2 linked regions of the Coturnix japonica genome follow. The protein of the gene in region 2 interacts with the protein of the main gene of each other region in a biochemical or structural test. Links are inferred from orthologs where the notes say so. Each region holds a gene or a part of one and is shown on either strand. Other genes may lie near its edges.

The links. The genes of interacting proteins can lie anywhere in the genome.
Region 1: the proteins of NUP155 (region 2) and GLE1 form a complex in vitro, tested with the Homo sapiens proteins (2 studies listed by BioGRID). The link is inferred for Coturnix japonica from reciprocal best matches to the Homo sapiens genes NUP155 and GLE1.

Annotation. Positions count from the first base shown.
Region 1 is NC_029532.1:3,852,696-3,862,669, reverse strand, and holds the start of GLE1 (nucleoporin GLE1), read right to left. Parts: upstream 5,740-9,974; 5' UTR 5,650-5,739; coding exon 5,473-5,649; intron 5,393-5,472; coding exon 5,177-5,392; intron 4,913-5,176; coding exon 4,787-4,912; intron 4,645-4,786; coding exon 4,496-4,644; intron 4,338-4,495; coding exon 4,277-4,337; intron 4,080-4,276; coding exon 3,825-4,079; intron 3,649-3,824; coding exon 3,420-3,648; intron 3,272-3,419; coding exon 3,159-3,271; intron 2,941-3,158; coding exon 2,871-2,940; intron 2,549-2,870; coding exon 2,406-2,548; intron 2,302-2,405; coding exon 2,111-2,301; intron 1,650-2,110; coding exon 1,520-1,649; intron 1,335-1,519; coding exon 1,230-1,334; intron 1,100-1,229; coding exon 1,017-1,099; intron 853-1,016; coding exon 789-852; intron 149-788; coding exon 80-148; 3' UTR 1-79. Other genes in the region: ODF2 (outer dense fiber protein 2), read right to left, coding at 6,987-7,160, 7,403-7,528, 7,843-8,005, 8,524-8,624, 9,555-9,713. UniProt on the Homo sapiens protein: Required for the export of mRNAs containing poly(A) tails from the nucleus into the cytoplasm. May be involved in the terminal step of the mRNA transport through the nuclear pore complex (NPC).
Region 2 is NC_029547.1:10,554,151-10,563,984, forward strand, and holds the start of NUP155 (nuclear pore complex protein Nup155), read right to left. Parts: upstream 5,868-9,834; coding exon 5,732-5,867; intron 4,264-5,731; coding exon 4,126-4,263; intron 3,789-4,125; coding exon 3,692-3,788; intron 2,648-3,691; coding exon 2,577-2,647; intron 1,659-2,576; coding exon 1,566-1,658; intron 748-1,565; coding exon 581-747; intron 182-580; coding exon 76-181; intron 1-75. Other genes in the region: WDR70 (WD repeat-containing protein 70), read left to right, coding at 7,881-7,905, 7,994-8,056, 8,242-8,325.

The DNA.
Region 1 (9,974 bases), on a different chromosome or scaffold from region 2:
TCCATCACAGTCCAACGCGTGCACTTAAGAAGCAGCTCTGCCAGCATTGATATCCAGGGAGGATGAAGAGTGCAGCAATTCAGGACCTCCAAAAGGAAGGCTGCAGGAAGCCCTTTGGTAACGGGATGTCCTTCTTCTGGAGGCTTTCCTAGTGGAGAAAAGACAATGAAACAAAGTGAGGAAAGGAATAAGAAATAGATCTCATAGTTTGCCATCCCTTATACTGTTAATGAAGCATACAGAAGTTTGTTTGTTTGCAAACTGTGGTGTATTAAAACACGATAGCTTCGGTTTAACACAACATTCACAAAACAAAATGCAGCATTTAACAGTTCTGCAGGCTTCCTCTAAAATAACCTGTGCAAAACACAATACTGCACAGATGCTACAAAGAGCAGCTCCAAACACCTCCTTCCTCACTCAGCTAATCAGGGCAACAGCAAAAGCAAGCGAGCTGCTGACGAAATTCAGCTGTTAGAAATGACTCAGCACAACCCTCCCCAACCTGTCTGCCTCCTCTCACTGCCACCAGCCTTCACTGAATATCCGTTACATCAGAATACATCAACACTGAGAAAAATACACCTGAGGTAAGAAGGAAGCGAGATGCCCAACATCACAATTATCATTAAGAGAATTCAGTGACCAAAAGCCAGGTTACACCGTAGTTACAAGGCTGGACTATCAAGTGTGCTGCTGGCAGCACCAGCTTCATTATTGGAATGATGCACGTATTGAACAGAGCAAAGGAAAGAAAACGATTTGAGAACTGAAATATGCTGTTTTACCTCCAGGAATTGCTTGAAACGCGTTAAAGAGGCCTTCTGTCCAACGTTGGTAATTGCTTCAATCCTGCAGGAATAACAGCGTGTCTCAAAACCGACTCAGCTGAGTTTGATTTACAAGCAGATAGAGAGCGAATGTCAGAGATGGGAAAAGGTGGAAGAGTCTCTTAAAAGCAAGCACTCGAAAGGTGAAGAGCGGGACTATTTCCCATCCGAACACAACCATCGTACCGTGGGATGTAGTCTTCTTGCATCAGCAACAACAGCTTCCAGAACTGAACGTGGTATTGTTTCATCAGAGCATTGCCACACACCTGCAGTTCGGAAACAAAGATCACATTGCAGACCTGGGCCTCAGATCAGCGTGACACCTTCCATCACCTTGTTTGGTATCAATGAGAAAGAATCAGCTGCTACATGCGCTCACACTGCGACATCACTGACCTCCAGGAAATCATAGAGCAGCGTGGCTGTCACCACCACCAGAGGTTCCATGTTCAGCATCTGAGCGAGCCAGCACCAGCCATAGTTCAGCCCATGAGGATGTGCCTGTAAAGCAGTAAAACAATGCTACACAACATGCAAAACGCTATTATAAAAAGACATTGCTTTCAACTTCCATTCTCTTTCATAGAGTTATTTTACAACAGCCTTACATACAACTTGATTGTGATGAAAACACTGCAAAAGTAAAGGTGTAGCAAAGTTCTGACTGTGCTGTTACACATCCATACCCCTTGTTTGTTCCCATAAGGCCAGCGGAGCTGAATGAGAGCAGCGTACAGACGAATCAGTCCTGACATCCGCTTAAGAAAATGATCTTCCTCTTCCATCTTAGAATCCTGAACATGATACCCCAGCATCCTAAATAGGAGACATTGCATTATTAGTACAACTCAGTGCTTCACATGAATCTGTGCAGCTCTCAGCTTTAAGTCAGCTGTGCTGAGATAAGGGATACTCTAAAACTAAGAATTATTGCAAAGGCTGATTGTTACATTGTGGATCATATTTTCCACTGGTTTATATCGTGCAGAATCTTTAGGTTCTGCAGTGGATATTTCAGCCGAAATCAAGCTGTGGCTGTTATCTGCTATTTGAGGAGGACAAGGAAGATGAAGCAAAAGAGCATCCATTATCCCTAAAAATACTTCCAAAGGACACAGCACCCTCCAGGGCTGCACACTTCTGAGTAAACCTTCAGAGCCTCTGCCAACATGGCACAGTGCCTTGTAATCAAAGATGGAAGAAGTGGAGTTCATTCAGGAGAATGTATTCTTTGTCCTTCTAGAGCAGACGCTGAAGAACTTCAGTCATTAATTTACCTCTGATATTCTTCCATAGAAGTCCCCTCCTTGTATGCAGGGTAGAATGGCACGGAATAGGGGCACGCCTTGTGCAGGTGAGCTAAGAAGAGCTCTCCGACTCGAGGGTGCATTTCCCAGATCCCTGATATCACCAGTGCAATCGGGAAGGCTGACTCACGGTGAGAAGCAACCTCTTCTTCTCCTTGTTTCTGGAAGGGGGAAAGAAACAGTTAAAGAAGGACAGCAGCATCCCAAAGAGCTTCCTAAAGCACCAGTTACATTTATCTGCTCGATAAAGAGAACAGTGCCTCACCACAAATTTCTCTGCAAGCTTGTAATAAACAAAATCCAGGCCTTGTGGGAGCTGAGTCACCAATACAGTTTCCCCTACGCTCTGAACAGGCTTTCCAGAGAGCAAGTTATTGAGCTTGTCAAATATCTGTCTTAGCTGAGAGCCTGTAAATAGAGCAGAGATGTACAGATAGGTCAGGAAAAAGCAGAAGAGCCTTAATCAGATCCCATCAACAGATCTGGGCCCTGAAGAACGAGGCTCCTCCAACTGCTGTGATTAAAGAAACTGAACCCTGATGAAACAAGGTGTGTCTGAAGGAACTGACATGCTTGAAAACCATGAGCAATGCTGTGCTCCAAAGAATTGGGAGCTTCCTACAGCAGCTCTCTCTCATAGGGGTAATCATAGAAACTGGATACTTGGTGTCCTACTAAAATCAGCAGCTAAAGGCATTCATTACAGTTGGGTTCTTAGCGTTTTCCTGACCTGCAATGGTCGAGATCTGGCTCACAGGGATGGTAACAGCTTTCTGCAGTTCCATTCTTATCTTCCTGACCTGCAGAAGAACAACAACAACAATTAAAAACCCCACCAGCACTCTGAAAACCTTCACAGAGCAAGAGGGCTGACCAAGGCTGAAACGCCTTCAGTGACACCACAGTGTGAACCAGCAGACTGTGCAGAGGCTGCTGTTGGAAACTGTGCTAATGAAAGCTCCCTCTTATCTACAGGAGAGGAAGATAACCACCCGTCAGTGTTCATCATTGTTCGTACCTCGCTGTCTTTGGAGCTGCTCATTGCACTGAAAGCAGCAGCACACTGGGCCGCAGCATCTTGAAGCTGTTGGTACCGTTTCATAGTGTCTTCCCCTGCCTTAACTGAAAGTGCTATGTAAAAAAAATACAGCAACAATTGGAAAAGTTAGAGAAGTTGTGTTGTCACAAGAATAACATTCCAAAGTAGCATCTGGCTAAACAGTAAAATAGACCAGAAAGAGAAAAGGAGGGTGAGGAGAGAAAATAAAACCCAGCCAACCGTCCTTCTGCTGCTTCCCTCCCGCTGGCTGTGCAGGGGCAGGAGTCTGAGCTTCTGCCTGTTGCTTCTTCAGTAACTCCTCCTGCTTCTGTTTCTTTTCCTGCTCATCTCTCCTCTTCTTTTCTTCCACTGCTGCAGCGATTTCCTGCTGCATGTTGGAGACCAGCCCTCGCATTTCCTTCAGGGCTTGTTCGGTATTGGCCACATCCAGCTGGGAAGGGAAACCTCTCTATCAAGAGACAGAGAAGGCAACGTAGCATCAGCCGTTGGTTCTGCTATATGTAGACTGCTATATCAAAGAGCCCAGAGCCTTGAAGTGCTGGGCTATGTTTGAATAAGCTGCTTTGGAAGAGAACAGTGGGAAGCTTTAAGAAGAGGCAAGCAAAGGGAAGAACAACTCTCTACCTCACTTGTGGTTCGGATGAGCTCTGACACCAGCCCACAGATCTGGTTGCCTCGATTGCTATATGCAGAAAGGTCAATTTTCGGCAGGTCCTTGTGCTTGTAATTGGGATCAATCTGCTGGTTCAGCTGCAGCAGTTCCTCCTGAATGGAATAAAGGCGACGTAATCTTTCCTGGCCTTCTTCCCTACGCAGCCGCTCCTGCTCCTCCTGGCGCTGCCTCTGCTGCTCTGCCTCGCGCAGCTTTAGGTTCAGTATCTGGAGAGAGGAAGAGGCAAAGTTCAGTAAGGGCAGCTTTGGGGACCTTCCTGCCTCGGGGAAAGGAAGATGCACAAAATCTCATGATTTTACACCAGTTATGGTCTGAATTCCCCCCATAGAAGTACTACAGAGCCTGGAATAGCAATGACTGACAAACTGTGCTGCCTGTCTGATAACACAGAACTATCACACACCTTTGCTCTGTGCCGATGCTCTTCTTTCAGCTTCTCTTGCTGTCCCTGAGTTTCCTTCAAACTAAAACAGGCACAGCAAAAGCATTCCATTAAAGACACGAGCAAGGAAACACAAACACGCATATACACCCCCACACAGTACAATACAAGCGTTGTCAAGTATTAACCCCCCTTTGATTAAACATTATAACATCCCAAGGATACCAGAGTCACTCTCACCTCTTCTCCATCACTTCCCGCAGTTCCTGGATCTCCTGACGCCGCTTCAGCTCCTTCATCTCATCGAAGCGTTTCAGCTGTTCCCTCGCCATGTCGTACGCTGCTCTCACCATCTGCTCCTGCTGCTCCTGCCGCTGCCGCAGCCTCTCCTGCAGGATGCACCTCCATGGAGCAGCCCAATTCACACCAAGGAAACACACATAAAGCCAGCGATGTGATCTGTGTGACGCTGTCCTACACCAATATCCCACACAGTGGTTTAGGCTCAGTCATGCTTTTATTTCTACTTACCCTTCCCTTCATCCTGTATATCTCCTCATACATCTGAATGCAGCCTTCAACTTTCGCCATTTTAGATACAGGAGGGATGGGAAGGACTTCGACATTCACCTCCAGCACAGCGGGATCGTTGTGTCCCTGCGGAGCCGGCACAAGGTGGGATCAGTGACTGCCCCTCCAACACAGAGCTACCAACATTCATCAGGGCTTCACCAACCTCACAGCCCCACAGCTCAGCTTCCCTGCCAGCCTCCCTCCTTTCCATCAAAGGGAACGATGCTCTTTGTACCCACTTTATCACCCCGGTTATGATACATAGAGCTGGAGCAGAGCAGCCTTTGCCCCGCACGTTAATGGAGCACAACACAAAACGTATCAGCAGCTCTCAGTAATTAGAGTTACCTTGGTTTGGCTCCTCGCTGCAGCTGCGGATCCCTGCCCCTCCTCGCAGCCGGACTCCGAGCTCTTCTCAGCCGCCGGATCTGATCGCGGAGCGGCACCTTTGGGTGCAGAACCGGGCGGTGCCGCTGTCTGGGCCGCCGAACCGGCCATCTTGTCCAGGACCCACCCGGCGTACGAGGTCAGCATCAGAGGGGAGATGCATCCCTCCAAGATGTCCTGCGGAGAACGGATCGGCAAGGTAACGGTAACGCACGGCCGGGACGGGCTCCGCCATCGCGGCCCACCGGGCTCCTCACCTCGTCCCTGTCCGAGTGCCGGCAGTATTTGAGCCGCCCTTTGCTGGACGCTCGCAGCGCTTCCAGCGTCTCCCATCGCAGATCCCTGCCCTGCATGGCCGACCCGGAGCCTTCATAGGCCGCGCCGTCATCCCGCTGGGCGCACAGCGACTTCCGCTTCCCCAGCCGCGCCGCCATCGCCCCCTGGCGGCCGGGAGGAGCCGTGAGCCCGGCAGGGAGGAGCAGCGGGTCCGTTACCGGGTCGGTTGTGCCGCTGCTCCTCGCGCTTTGCACCCAACAGCCGCTGCGGGCGTTGCGGGGCGGGCGGTTCGTAGGCTGTGTGCGTGCACTGCTCCTCCAGCCCCTCCAAACAAAGCCCAGATGCCTTTGTGCGCAGCGCACTGATAACAAACACTCCCATATCATCAATCACAATTTATTATATCGTTTTCTCCATAGCACCTTTAGGATTTCCTTTTAAAAAGTGACACACCAAATAACCGCGTTCTCAAATAACGATTATCTCAGAAAAGCTTTATGACAAACAACACCCCCCCGTGCACAGCCGTAGGATAGAGTAGGGTTAAAAACAAAAGCAACGTTGGCTTTAATCCCCACCAGGAACCAGCCGCAGGGAGGAGCAGAACAGGGCACAGAGCACAGAGCATCACAGGTTGGTTTGATGGAGGCACTGAGCAGCAGCTGATCAGTGCAATGGGCTGCCAGCTGATCAGTGCAATGGGCTGCCAGCTGATCAGCGCTTCATGCACACACTGAATTCACACAGTGAGACCCGGCTGAGGTTGAGCTGCAACCTGCCCTTTGAATACAGCTGGTCTGGGCACAGTCCTGGGGCTGTTTGGGCTCAGGAGGGTCAGGGTTGGGGTGTGGGGTAAAGCAAATTGAGAACACACTAAATAAAGCAAAGATCACTGAGTACAACACGAGTCAATGTAACAAACAAACATAAATCATCATTTCTGCTATAAAACTGTTTGCAAACACTGCAGTGCTTCAGAAGAACCTCTTGTAAGCATAAAGCCCCAGCATGGCCCCTATTTTCAGCTTCTCGCCCCCCTGAGGGGTGGGTGGGCTTCCACCATCCCATCCATGTAATAACAAGAAGCAGAAATAGAACATGATCAACCCCAGGACACAGAACAGGGGGAAGGAAAAAAATGAAGTGTGGGAAAACAGCTCTGACAAACATGAACACAACTAAAAGCACTGCTGGGCTGAAAGGGCTGAAACCAGCCAGAGCTCAGAGGATGAAAAGGGCCTTTACCACTGTATGCAAAACCATCTGGTTTTGGGCACAGCTTACAGAATGACACCAACCTCCATCACCATCCATCACCAGACCAGCGCTGCTAATGCTCTGCATGCTCAGACTGCATGCCGTCACCATCCCATCACCTCCTCCCTTCAGTGACCCTGAAATTTCTCCATTCTCAGCCCATCTTCTACACTACGCATGGCTTTGACACAGTGCTCATTTTGTGCTTCAAAGCAGAGGTGCAGAGCAAGCGCTGACCTCATGGAGAAGAACGAGAGCGGCTGGGAGAGCCCAGCAAGGCACTGTCAGCAAACACGTTGGCATAGGAAGATTTGAGGAACTGGACGTAGTTCTGCATGCTGCGGTTTGTGCTCTCCGACTGCTCCAGCCGGTCCTTCAGGTCCTGCAGGCGGCTCTCGTAGCGGCGCTCTGCCTGTAACAAAGCACAGAGCGCAGGATGAAGGACAGCACAGCTCACCCTGTCACTCCTTAAGTTGTTCCAAGAAATCCCTGCAGGCAGCAAAGATGAGCACAGCAGTAGATGGCGTTGCCATGGGTGGTGCTGTAGCCTTTATCGTTTGTTGTGCTCGTTCCCAACATCATTCAGCAACCGGACAGTGAATAACAAGAGACAACTGCTGCCAGCACAGCCAGCACTCCTCACAGATCACTCACATCGTCTTTGTTCCGCCGCAGCTGGCTCAGCTCTGTCTTTGTCCTACTCAGCTGTGTCTCCAAATCCAGCACCTTGGACTGGGCTGCCCTCTCTCTGGATGTTGCTCGTTCTCGAGTTTGTTCGACCTGCACGTAACAGAGAAACAACCTTGTAGGAGAGGTGTCTGTGGAAAATGATTCTGCCCTGCCTTACTGCCCGAAATCCCCTGCACGTTTACTTGGACATAAGCAGCAGGTCAGCCCAGGGCTTTTCTTACTTCTGTTGCAAACAATAGCACGGAGTTCCATTTCTCAAAGGTTTGAGAACTATCAAACGGTACCAAAACATCTTTTGCATTCCATCAAATGTGATTATTTCAATAGTTGGGTCATAGGCTGGGGAACATTTCAGTTTTACAGCCTGGGTAGTTGCAGGGACATAACAAACAAGAACCCCTTACCTGTCGTTTGGCATCTTCAATGGCCATTTCCAGCTGACGAGCCACAGAGCTGCACTCCCGGGTCTTCTCTTCTAACCGCAGCTGGCACTGATGGATGGACTCCTCACGCTTTGCTATGACCTGCAGGAACTCCATGTTCTGGGCGCTTGTTGTTTCTAGTTTTCTAGGTTAAGACAAGGCAAGAAAACCTATTCATTTTAAATGGAGAGCATTTCAGACTACCTTTTGGTCAGGTCTTGTCTGGTCTGGGAGGTGACTCTGTGCCCTATTAAATACTTCTTCATTTCTCTAATCAGAACTCCAAAGACTGAGGGACACTGAGGATTCACACACACACCTTTCTCCAGATGTTGTCACTAAGAAGAACTGATAAACATGGATAAAAACCTCCAATATTCAGTAACATCAAAACTGTCCAGCCGGGCTGGTACCACAGCTGTTATCTGCTGGGCAGGCACAGTCCTTTCTAACAACATTCATCAGGTTTGCTGCAAGAACCTACAAATCCCTCTCTAGTAGACAGTTACTGATTAGAGATCCCTGTGAGACGAGTAAATGTGCAGAACCTGGAGACCTGTGGGGCACTCGAACAAGACTGGAGATGTTTCAATTCTGTGAAAAGAAAAACACAGAGTACAGAAAGGAAAAGTTAACGGAACAAGAGAGCCTCATGTTTCTAACCTTTCTAGCTCCTCCACCTTCAAGGTGAGCTGCTTTTTCTCCTCCTGGGCAGACAGATACCTCTCTCTTGTTATCTCCATTTTGTCCCCCTGGAGCTCAATCTAAAAATCACAGCCATTAGTTACTTTACAGAACAGTCACTGCACACACACGACCAACCCCCTCAATAAAACACACGCTGCTCTCCAGGAAGGAAATGCTCAGTTCATATTTCTGGAGAGTCCTAGAAAAGAAACACTGGATAGAAGGCAAAGCTCTGAGCACACAAAACATCATTTCATTGGAGCTTCCAGCTAACGCTTAAATATGATAGGTATTATAATATTTCTCATATTGGGTATGAGAAAGTTCTTCACTACTACAAAAGGGAAAGCCAGGTTGGTAAAGCTTGCATGCAGAGCAGACACCTCTAAGTACAGCAAAGCACACGCATTAAGAACAGCCACATACCTGACAGGAGGCCACAGAGACACCACAGACTTAAACACGAGGAAGGTTTACCACTCCAAGCCAAGGAGAGTAAAGCTGTCAAGACTATAAGATTATTTGCTGCATCCTGAGGCACGACTGTAGATGTCCTGCCTGTCTACAGCTGTCCTGGAACACCTACACAGTGCTCCTGGGAACATAAAACAGGGACTGGGAAAACAACCTGAGACGAGGGTGAAAAAACAAGCAAAAGACCAGAGGAGGGAAAGCCAGCAAGGTGATGGAAGTAACAGAAGGGAGCGGTGACATCTGCAAGCGTTGTCATGCTGCTGTTCAGGTCCCATGATGGTTTTGCACCATGGGATTCAAAACCTTCCAAGCAGTAAGGAATGCGGGTAGCTACGCTGCTAGCTTCTCACACAAAGACATGGCACACACCTTTATTTTGCAGTGCACGTTTAATCTTTTCAACAAGAGACAAGAACAGAGACGGAGCGGCTCCAACCTTCCTGCGGTCAGCGATTCATCTTGGTCTCAGGGTGAGAGGTCTCTGTAGGAGGTGAGGGATTCTGCGCTGTAAGAGGTTTCTGCCAGTCCCTTACCCGCTGACGAAGATCCGCGATCATGACAGACAGGTCCATGTTCTTCTTCTCATAATTCTGAAGCTGGTCCTGACATTCTGCCAACTGTGTCTCTGTGATCTTCAGGATCTCAGGCAGCTTTTCCAACTCAGAAAGCTGGCTCTGGAACTGCTGGCGAGCCTAATGAAAGCAATAAGCAATTTTCAAATGGTTAGAACCATTTTAGTCTAGACAGCACTCCTCTGAAAGCTTCCTTCATTTGCACTATGGTGACATTGTGGATATTTGTCAAGTATTGGAGGTCAACGTGTATTTAAGGTCTTCTACCCCCTTTACAATCTGATATCCACGGATCCTGGCCTTCAGTTTTACTAGAAGTACGAAGCTATTTTACAAGGACAGCTGTTCCATGGCAGACAGCAGTACAGTTCTAAGCCACTA
Region 2 (9,834 bases):
AAAATTAAGCTAAAGAAGGATAATCATTTCGAATTTATATTATCTACCATGGAAATCTTTAGCATCAGTACCTACCATCTTCTGAGAATGTGAACTGTAGCAGTGAAGGAATAAGGAAAGACAATGTGCTCTTTGAATGATTGATTTTCCTACATCGCTGGCTAAACCAGCCTGCCTCAGCCTGCAATTTAAAAAAGACAGTGTTGAAAGAAAATGTAGAATGAAAGAAAAAAGAAACTAAAAGCTATACTAAGAAGAAAAGGCAGTAACATTGCAAGTGTGAAAACAAGTAAAAATCCAAATACATGCCATTAATTTCAGTATGTATTACTTAATTGAAAGCACTAAGAGATTACAAAAACAATTTTGTGTGAAAAGGATGCAGGTTATCATTATCTGAACTTTTTTTTTTCAGGCTGACCAAAGCTGTATTGCTATTTTTCATGTTAGACCTCTGAGCTGCTGGGCAAATAAACCACACAACACAACTATAAAAGAAAAAAGGTGGTAGATTTAACATGTTTTAGAACTCTTATTAGAGTCTCTTCCACATAACCATTAAAAAATAAAAGATAATCACCTGGTAAGCTACTTCATACAAGCAGCCATCCTTTCCAGCCAAAAAGATACGTCCATTATCAGTGGATGTTATTGCAGAAATGTAAGTGTTGTCAGTAGGGAGTGAATAGAGAGGGTCTGGTAGAAACTGCATTCCACCAGACAAACTGTCATTGAGTGATCCAGTACCTTAAATAAACAAGAACTCCTTAGATTTTAGTTTTTAAGTTCTATGAACATTATAGATTTTATAAACATCAGGCCTGTAATAAGAAGCATTTCAGTAAACATGAAAAATTACAGGAAATTTCATAATTACTAAAAAAAAAAATCCATAATAGCTATTATTCAAGATGAACCACAGAGTAATGAATCTTGTTTCTAAAACTAAATGAACTCACTGTACACACTTCTAAGAAAGGAAATATCATTATCTTCTCTAAATCCCAACAATTCTGAATCAAATTTCTGCATAACCCTTTCACTGGAAGAAAGTAAAAATAAAGGGAACAAAGGATTCTCTAGTTTTCTCAAAATCTATTTTTTTTTTGTTTGTTTTGTTTTGTTTTCCCTATTAATATACATAGCATAAAAAATGGTATCAGATTTTTTTCTGTTTTTCTTTTTTTTCTGTTGTTTGAAACAAATGACAACTAGATTAATAAACTGCATTCATCGCCATTTTATCTTGACTCATGACAATCTCTTCTTCCCCTCATAAGGTTTAATAACAGGAAAATCTGTTTCAAATGTTTATTTCACTTTAAACAAGTGAACACTACAATTCTCTGGTCCTATGTCAGTTTTGGATCCAGAAGGTACTCATCCTATAAAAATGAAATTACTGTACCATGTCTCTAACATGATTTAAAATTAGCAGATGTGTGGTCTTGTTTTTATTTTTATTTGTTAGTAATAACATAACTAGTAGATACTTATATAACTGTTAATGCACAACCATTTCTGTAATTCACATAGGTGGAGAAATATAAGAAAGAGACACCTACCTGTTTGTGTATTTGCACAGCTGAGCCCTAAGATCACGATATCCACAGGGGTTGCCAGAACAAGTAAGTGTCGTACATGAGGTTGAAATATACCTAAAGAAGGAAAGAATATCAAATTTTACTTTGCAGTCAAGCTCTCAAGACTCACAATGATTGTATCCACCATATTAATGAGATCAATGCAACAAATGCTTAGAGGTAACAGCCATTTTTGAGGAACTGGGGATGTTTAGTCTGGGGAAAAGGAGGCAGAAGGGAGACCTCACAGCTCTCTTTAAACACCTGAAAGATGCTTACAGTCAGAGCAGTGTTGGTCTCTTCTCAATGGTGACAGGACAAGGGGAAATGGCCTCAATCTGCACAAAGGTAAGCTAAGGTTGGATATCAGGAAACACTTCTTTACAGAAATGGATGTTAAGCACTGGAATAGGCTCCCCAGGGAGGTGGCTGAATCACTGTCCCTGGATGTGTTTAAGAACAGTTTGGATGTGGTGCCCAGGGACATGATTTAGCAAAGGGCTGTTAGAGTTAGGGTAGTACAGTTAGATTGTGGTCTAGAAAATTCTAGAGCTACGAAGGAGTAATAGTTAGCAGCTCAGCTTCTGCTTCATGAAATACAAGAACTCAAAAACATTGTTTTCTCAAAACACTTTACTTGTTAATTAATTAGGATTCTTTTATAAAGTTACTTCAGTATCTACTTAAATGTTATATCATGTTCAGGTGTTGAAAGAACTGCAAGCACTAGAAATCAGAATCTCTAGGAAGTTATTGTGGCAATGTATTAACAAATTAACAAATGCGAGTACAACATGAGATTTCTTTCAAGCTTATCATTGTGACTTAAACAATACTTTTCACTTGCAATTTATTACATCATGTATCTAAAGACAAAACAATTTATATTGCATATATACATGTAAAACAAAGGTTTTTATGGAAGTACATACAAAAACCACACATAGGAGATTAGTTACTATGTAAGCCTAATCACTGCCATATACTTCTTACCTGCCTTTGGCTTTACAAGACCCACTGCAAGTATAGTTTCACTAAGGCCATCAAAGTAAGCCAGATCTCCGCTGTTAACAAAACAAGAAAACACGCAAGTGCATAAATTGCGTAACATATCACATAGTAGCACAGTAAACAATATCAGATACCCATATTTTAGAGTTCTTAATACTTCTTACAACACTTTGAATATACACCGTAATGTTTGGAAGGTATCTACATTTTTTGCTTTGGGTGAAAACAGATCCAGCAGAATGAAATGACACATCTCCCTAAAGGTACATTTCAAACCTGAAACCAAACTGCACTATTTTATGGTTTCGGATTTAGTTAATTTACACAGTCCACTGAATTACATTAACTAGCATCTGTAATGACAATTAACATCCAGAGGAAGGAACATATATAGCATCTTTTTCGTACAAAAAAAATCTAACAAAAACAAGTCCCAACCTCCTCCCTAGCAACTTAACACCATAAAGAATTGTATTATCTGGTAAATAGTTAATTAATGTGCTTTATACTTTATTATACAATGTATATGTAAGGGGAGGAGTGATGTGAGGAGAAAACAAAACTCAACAAATTCTATAAATAAATTCCTCTTAATATTCATACACATATAAAACCCACAAGAATACAAGCAAAAAAAGAATCTGACCAATCTGGATATTAAAAACTGCTATTTGAAATGGTTATTACATAGAATATATAGTTAAAACACTATCATAAATAACCACTGACCACTGTACTTACCCAATCTACTTAGAACAGTCAGGCAATTAATACGCTTTTTCTATGCTTTTACTTTCTTTAGCATGATCAAAGCCTAGCATATTAAAATAGGAATTATAGGATATCATTTAATGCTGAACTCTAAGAAAAAGCACTTTTAGTTCTTTCATCTCTAGATGATTTGTCAGCATTACTGCTAACTCCCCAAACTCCTCCAACACGTATTACTTAAAAGTTTTAGTGAAAACTAATAGAAATCAAGGTAACTTTGACAGAACAGCACACCTCTACACTGCAAGTAAACAATCTCCAACTGTTACAAATGCTTAGTTAAGACATAATATCAACAATATATAATCAAGAATGTGTTAACGTACCCATCTTCATAGTTCCACATAAAAATATCACTGTCAATTGTTAGCCAAGCTCTGCTGATTTCTGGAAATACTCCCATCATACAATTGCATTGCATATCTGAAGTATTACTAATGTAAGGACTAAATGTGTTTAGACCAACAAGGACAATCCCCTTTGGAATATTACAAAAAACAAAAACTGCTCTATATAAAGCAATAAACAAGCTATGTACCATAAATATGAAGTTTCTCATACGGGAACTAATTCCACCAGCACCTCTACACAAATTGACCGTATTACCACTTGGAGCCTTGAAATGTGAATATAACCAATATCAAAGTTCATTAATAGGAGTCTGACAGAAGTATTAAAGAAAAAATGATTATAAAAATGTAGAAGTCCAATACCAGTACTATTACACACAAAACCCAACACATTATTTTTCATAGGATACGTCCAAATTGCTCCACCAGCTCTGGGGGCAGCGGGACTCTGCGAACCGAGCTGATTTCTGGAAGATTAGGTATTGACAGCAAGCCTGGACCTTGCAAAGGATAATCCATATCTGTCATGCCAGAAACAGTAGGGCTACCTGCAATTAAGAACAACAAAAATAAGCTTTCCTTTAAAGAAGTGGGTGTTTTCACACATAAAACAATTCTCTATTTTCCCCTGATTTTTTTTTTTTTTTTTCCTTAATCAGTAAAAATAAATCTGTAAACAGATTTACAAGCTAACTCCTAGGATAATTCATCTGTCCCCCAGACTACTTTTAATGCTGCCTTCTCCATGATCCTCTCTTACCCTTTTTTCATCATATGACCTGGCAATAAATGTCATGTGAACAACCCAGGAGCATCTTCATTCACCTAGAAAAAGTGTATTCTTAGCTCTTAGCTTAAATTTAAACTTTCCAAGCCTCTGTATTATCTTACCTAACGCAACTCTCTGATGAGATAGGCAGCTACACTTTGTCTACACACTCATTACGGTATCAAGAAATAGATACTCTTGTCTGAACGCATTCACTGAATGCACATTGATCAGATCACCTGCACTTTTACAGTGCTTTCTTACTGCTCACTCAGACAGGTGGGTGGCTGTACACAGTAGCTGATGCTGCTGTGATGTTTCAAAAAGGACAAAACAAGTGTATGAGAAGAGTTGTACCTTAAATCTTAACTAGGGAAGGCTGTTCTGAAAGTAATGCTTCCTAATTTGTTGGTCCAGGACATCAGAAGCAAATGTTGGAGTATGGCAGTAGACAATGAACCTCCCTGCCAATATTGCACTATATTTTCTTGCCCTCTGACAGATGGCATCAGAGGGGGAGTCTGACAAAACGGCATCTGATGTGAAAGTGCATAGGAAGCAAAGGTACGTTACTGAATTTCTCCGTATCTAAAAATGGCACCCACTGACATCCATCACTGTTTATTGAATGCTTACAGTGACCGAACAGTGGGTGTGAGCACAAGAAAATGTTTCAGCAGCAGCAGCAGTGGGTCAGCTCTGCTAAAGCAGACTGTGGCATGCAGGTTCATTTCCACTACAGGTGAAAATGTGTAGCCAATGATGGCAACTATGTTGACAAATAGTGTTTTGTAGCTAGGAATTTGCCCTTTCAGTGTCACTTCGCTCTTTGTATCCCTTGCAGTTTCCTTTTATCAAAAAGGACGCATTACTTTCAGAACAACCAAACTACACGTGACATGTGGCTGCCGAGAAATCAGTCATTCAAAGCAGCCTGCGGGAGAAAATGAGCGGAAAACCAAACTCCCGAATCCCTTCCAGTGGGAGACAGGACTGAGGAGTAGTACACGCCCGTTCTTCCCCCTCTGCTGCCTCTACTACAGCCCCGGTGTGCCGCGAGGCCCGGCCGCCACAGATCCAGCCCCGCTGCGGCCGGGACTCTAAGAAGCCATGTGGGCCCGGGAAGGACGGCGGAGCCTGGACTCCAGACACCTCACGAGGCTGCGCTTCGAAAGGCGGCGGGGCGACAGGAGGGGAAGCGGGAGCGGGGCGGCCGAGGCGACGCAGGATTACGGGGAGGTGCTCACCGGGCGCGGGCACGGCCAGCAGCTCCGAGAGGTCCGGGTAGCAGCGATCGTCTTGGATCTGCCGGTCGATGACGCGGCCCGCGATCTCCAGCGCCTCATGCCCGGCGGGCACCGTGGGGCTCATGGCAGCAGGCATGGCGGCGGGGCTGCACAGCGGCAGCGGGCTGAGGGCCGGCACCACCCCGCACACACACCGACCGCGCGAGCCCGCCGACCCGCACCCGCCAAATCCCGGCAGGCCTCACGACGTGACGTAGTTCCTTGTTCCGTCGGCAGAGATGGAGAGTGGCGGTTGTGCGGCGGAAGAGGCGGGCTGATGTTCTGCTGTTCTCTCCCTGCATTGTCCGCTTCCGCTGCTCCGTCTGCGGCGCCGCGTACCGGGCGGGGCGTGTCGGAGGGGGAATCAGTGTCGTCAGCGCTGTGCTTGTTGTTGCTGGTTCCTGTGTGCAGTTCTGACCCATGCTACTTGTGAGACAAAATGTGGCAAGAAATAAAAGTATTCTGTTACATCCCTAATGCGAAATTATTGGGGGAAACAGGACTCTCAACCCGCTCTAGTTGAAATGGGAAGTTCTGTTAGTATTGTGTGTGAGCAGAAGGGCTGGAGCCTGGCTGCAGCTCTCCTAGACCCCGTTAAGGGCTGAGTGCCACCAAGGAAGGATCTCTCTCTGGAAATTGCTCCTTGTGAGTCTCTTTTGTGAGCGCTTTTATGAACAGTGAAGCAGGAAACATGCTCTGCTGGAATTTAGAATAAAGGGGGGCTAAAAGGAGGATAGTTAAAGGTAGCTTATAGAAACAAGTAAAGGAAACAAGGGGCCTGGGAGAGCAGGAAGGATGCAGATAAGGAGTGAGAGCTCACGGAAGACATCAGGCAAGGAGGAGAATAGATATTGTAAATACCAGAAGAGGAGTTGCATCCCCCTGATAAGAACAAGAGGGGGTCTGCATGCTAAACAACTATTGAATATGTATCAGAATTCTGAGAAATCATTGACTATGTATTAGATGTACCTATATCTGTGTCACAATTTTACAAGTCAGTGTGCAAGTTTGGTGGAGCTATCCCCCTTGCACCCGGCGCTGGAATAAACATACCTGCTTTATAACCTATCTCTGTGTTATAGAGTTTGATTCCGCAAGTCATTTAGTTTAATTCTGATTATCTTTTCCAATGTGATAATTGTCCCAGTTTAACTTCTCCGTGTTCTATACAAAATCTGTATGCTTATTCATCTTAAAGAAACATACAACTATTGGTGTTAAACAGAAGGCTATGAAGATGGGTCTGTTGCCCATCACCTTAAACCTGAGTCGTTTTATGCAGTGCTTTATTGAGGCCCCGGTAGCCTGAGGACTAGCGTCCAAAGTCAGAGCCCCAAACTATAAAGAAATCACAAGGTTTATATACATTTTCTTCAGGATTGCTTCGTCCTCTTTTGTTATGTTTCCTTGGTTACAATTAGGTAAGACTATCCCACAAAGACCTAAGGAAATGTGCTGTACATTCTTCTCCTCCTTCAATCTGTGACGTTACTGGATGTTCCCGTTTCTGTTTTCTATTCATTTTCTCTAAAACGCTTAACCGCTCTACCATCACACCATAAATCTAAACCTAATTTTTAACATACATTGTGCTTTGTTCCTAAGCAAGATTTATTACTTAGATCCGTGCTCGGGTTCATAAGAAACACAACTTGCATTCCTAGATACGTGAGAAACACAGACTAGGCCTAACTACGAGCCTTAGCATGACTACTGCTACTATTATTTAAAGCACACTGTAACAGGTCCAGAAGGCAAAATGTGTGAGGAGCAACTGAGGGCCCTGGGAGTGCTCAGCACAGAGCAGAGGAGCTGCAGCTCCTCACAGGGAGCGGAGGGCAGCGCTGAGCTCTGTGACAGCGACAGGGCCCGAGGGAACGGCATGGAGCTGTGCGGAGGTTTGGGAAAGGCTCTGAGCTGCTGGTGTCCTCAGCTTCCAGGCCCGTTCCGAAAAGCCTCGTGGCCGGCAGAGGGGCGGGGCCCTGCTGGCCCCGGCAGCGCCACGTTCAGGACACTCCGTGCCTCCACGAGGCGGTGCCGCTGTCCGTGTCCCGCTCCGCCCCGCCGCTTCCTGCCGCGGCTGTTGTGGTTCCGGGCCGGCCGCAGCATGGAGTCGCCGGCTGCTGAAGGCGGTGAGTGGCGGGCCAGGCTGAGCCGGATTCAGCCTTGTCACCCCTCGCTGACCGCCGTTATTTTCTCCCTCTCCCCTCTTCTTTGCAGACGCTGAGATGCTGGCGGGACCCGACCCGGAGCTGGCGGCCACCATGGGCTTCTCGGGTTTCGGTGCGTTTCAGTGCCGGGCGGGGGGCGACTGAAGGGAGCGGGGAGCGATGCTGAGGCCGGCGGCCCTCGGCTATGGGGCTCGGGAGGGGAGCTGCGGGACCGGGCGACTCACGCTGCTCGGAGGGCCCACAGCGGCTCTCAGCGGGGCGAGCCGTGCTGAGTTGCCCCCTTGTGTGTGTTTTTAGGGAAGAAGGCTCGGACTTTCGATCTTGAAGCCATGTTTGAACAGACCAGGAGAACTGCCGTGGAAAGGAGCAGGAAGGTCTTGGGTAAGAAACGAGTGAGCAGTTAACTAGTGTGTTTTACAACGTGTTTTGTTCTTCTCTATTGGAGTGATGTGCCAGTGACTCAGGTTGGCTATTTAGTGAACGAAGTAGTGCAGTTGTGCTGCAGGAAAGCAATCTTGAACACTGTGAGGGTGGATAGAAGGGAGGACTATCCTTTTATATATGTTGTGAGAGTGTGCAAGGGATCAGTGTCTGCAGGATTCCTGCTGTGAGGCATTACACGTCAATCCAGGAAGAAAGCTGAAATTAAATATAAAGGTCTTCATAGGATCACAGAATTGTTTGAATTGGAAAAGATCTTTAAAGGTCAAACAGTCCAGGCTCCCCCCCCCCCCAGTGACAGAACAGTGACATCTACAACTAGATCAGGGTGTCAGATCCTGGTGCAGCCTGGTCTTGAATATCACCAGGGATGTGGCATGTACCACCTCTCTGGGCAGCCTGTTTTTGTGCCTCACTGCCTTTACTATAGAACAAAACAAAACAAAAAACAAACCCTTTTCATTATGCCTGATGTAAATCTACCTTCTTTTAGCTTGAAATCAATTCCATGTGTCCTATCACAGCACACCCTGCTAAAAGAGTCTGTTAACTTAGATTATTGCTTTTATTTTGAAAGGGATCTTGATTCAGAGAGTTTTAATTTAGATAGACAGAATAAAAGGGAAATGTGTTCTGTGACACACACAGTGAGTTACACAGCATCTCACAATTCTTTCTGTTTCTTACTGTGCTGGCAGTGGGAGGCCTGAGAGAAGAAGGTGATGAGAGCTGTATGTTTTCCTTTTCATATCCAAACAAGCACTATGCCAAAGATGGAAGACTCTAATATTCTAGATTTCTTTTTGATGTTCCAAGCTCCTGTGCTTTCTGCTTCCACTTAGTATGTGCTGAAAATGGAGCGTGTTTTTGTTGTTATTCTGTTTTTGTTTTGGTCTGATTTCTTTTTCTGTGTGTTACTGATACCGTTACGCAGATTATTTCTGAGAAAAAATTGTATTTTCTCTCTGAGGTGTTTGAAGTATATAGTAGTGTGGAAGCCCCTCATCAAGAAAATGCAATTCTGTTAGAAGAATGAGATCAGTGGATTGCAGTTCTTTATTGCTTGATTCTATGTGGAATCATACAGCTTCAACTCTGTGTGTGCTTGTTGACATTATACAATTTAAGACACTGTGAAATTCAAATATACAAGGGACCCCAGGATTTAATTTGAATTTTTTTTTTGTACTAAATCAAAATACAGTAATATTTATTTTATGTTGAAAATCGTTTAGATTCAATTTTTGTTCATATCAAACTATCATCTCTTTTGGGAGACCATCTCCCACTTGAAGATTAGAAGAAAAATTTAATATAGAGGAGAAATTTAATAAACTCAAGGGAGTGTAATGTTTTTAAGTCAAGACATTCTGAACTACACCTGGACATCTTTTCTCTGAAAAGAATCTTAAGGAACCCTAAGAAAGATTTCTGGAATTTTACCCGTAA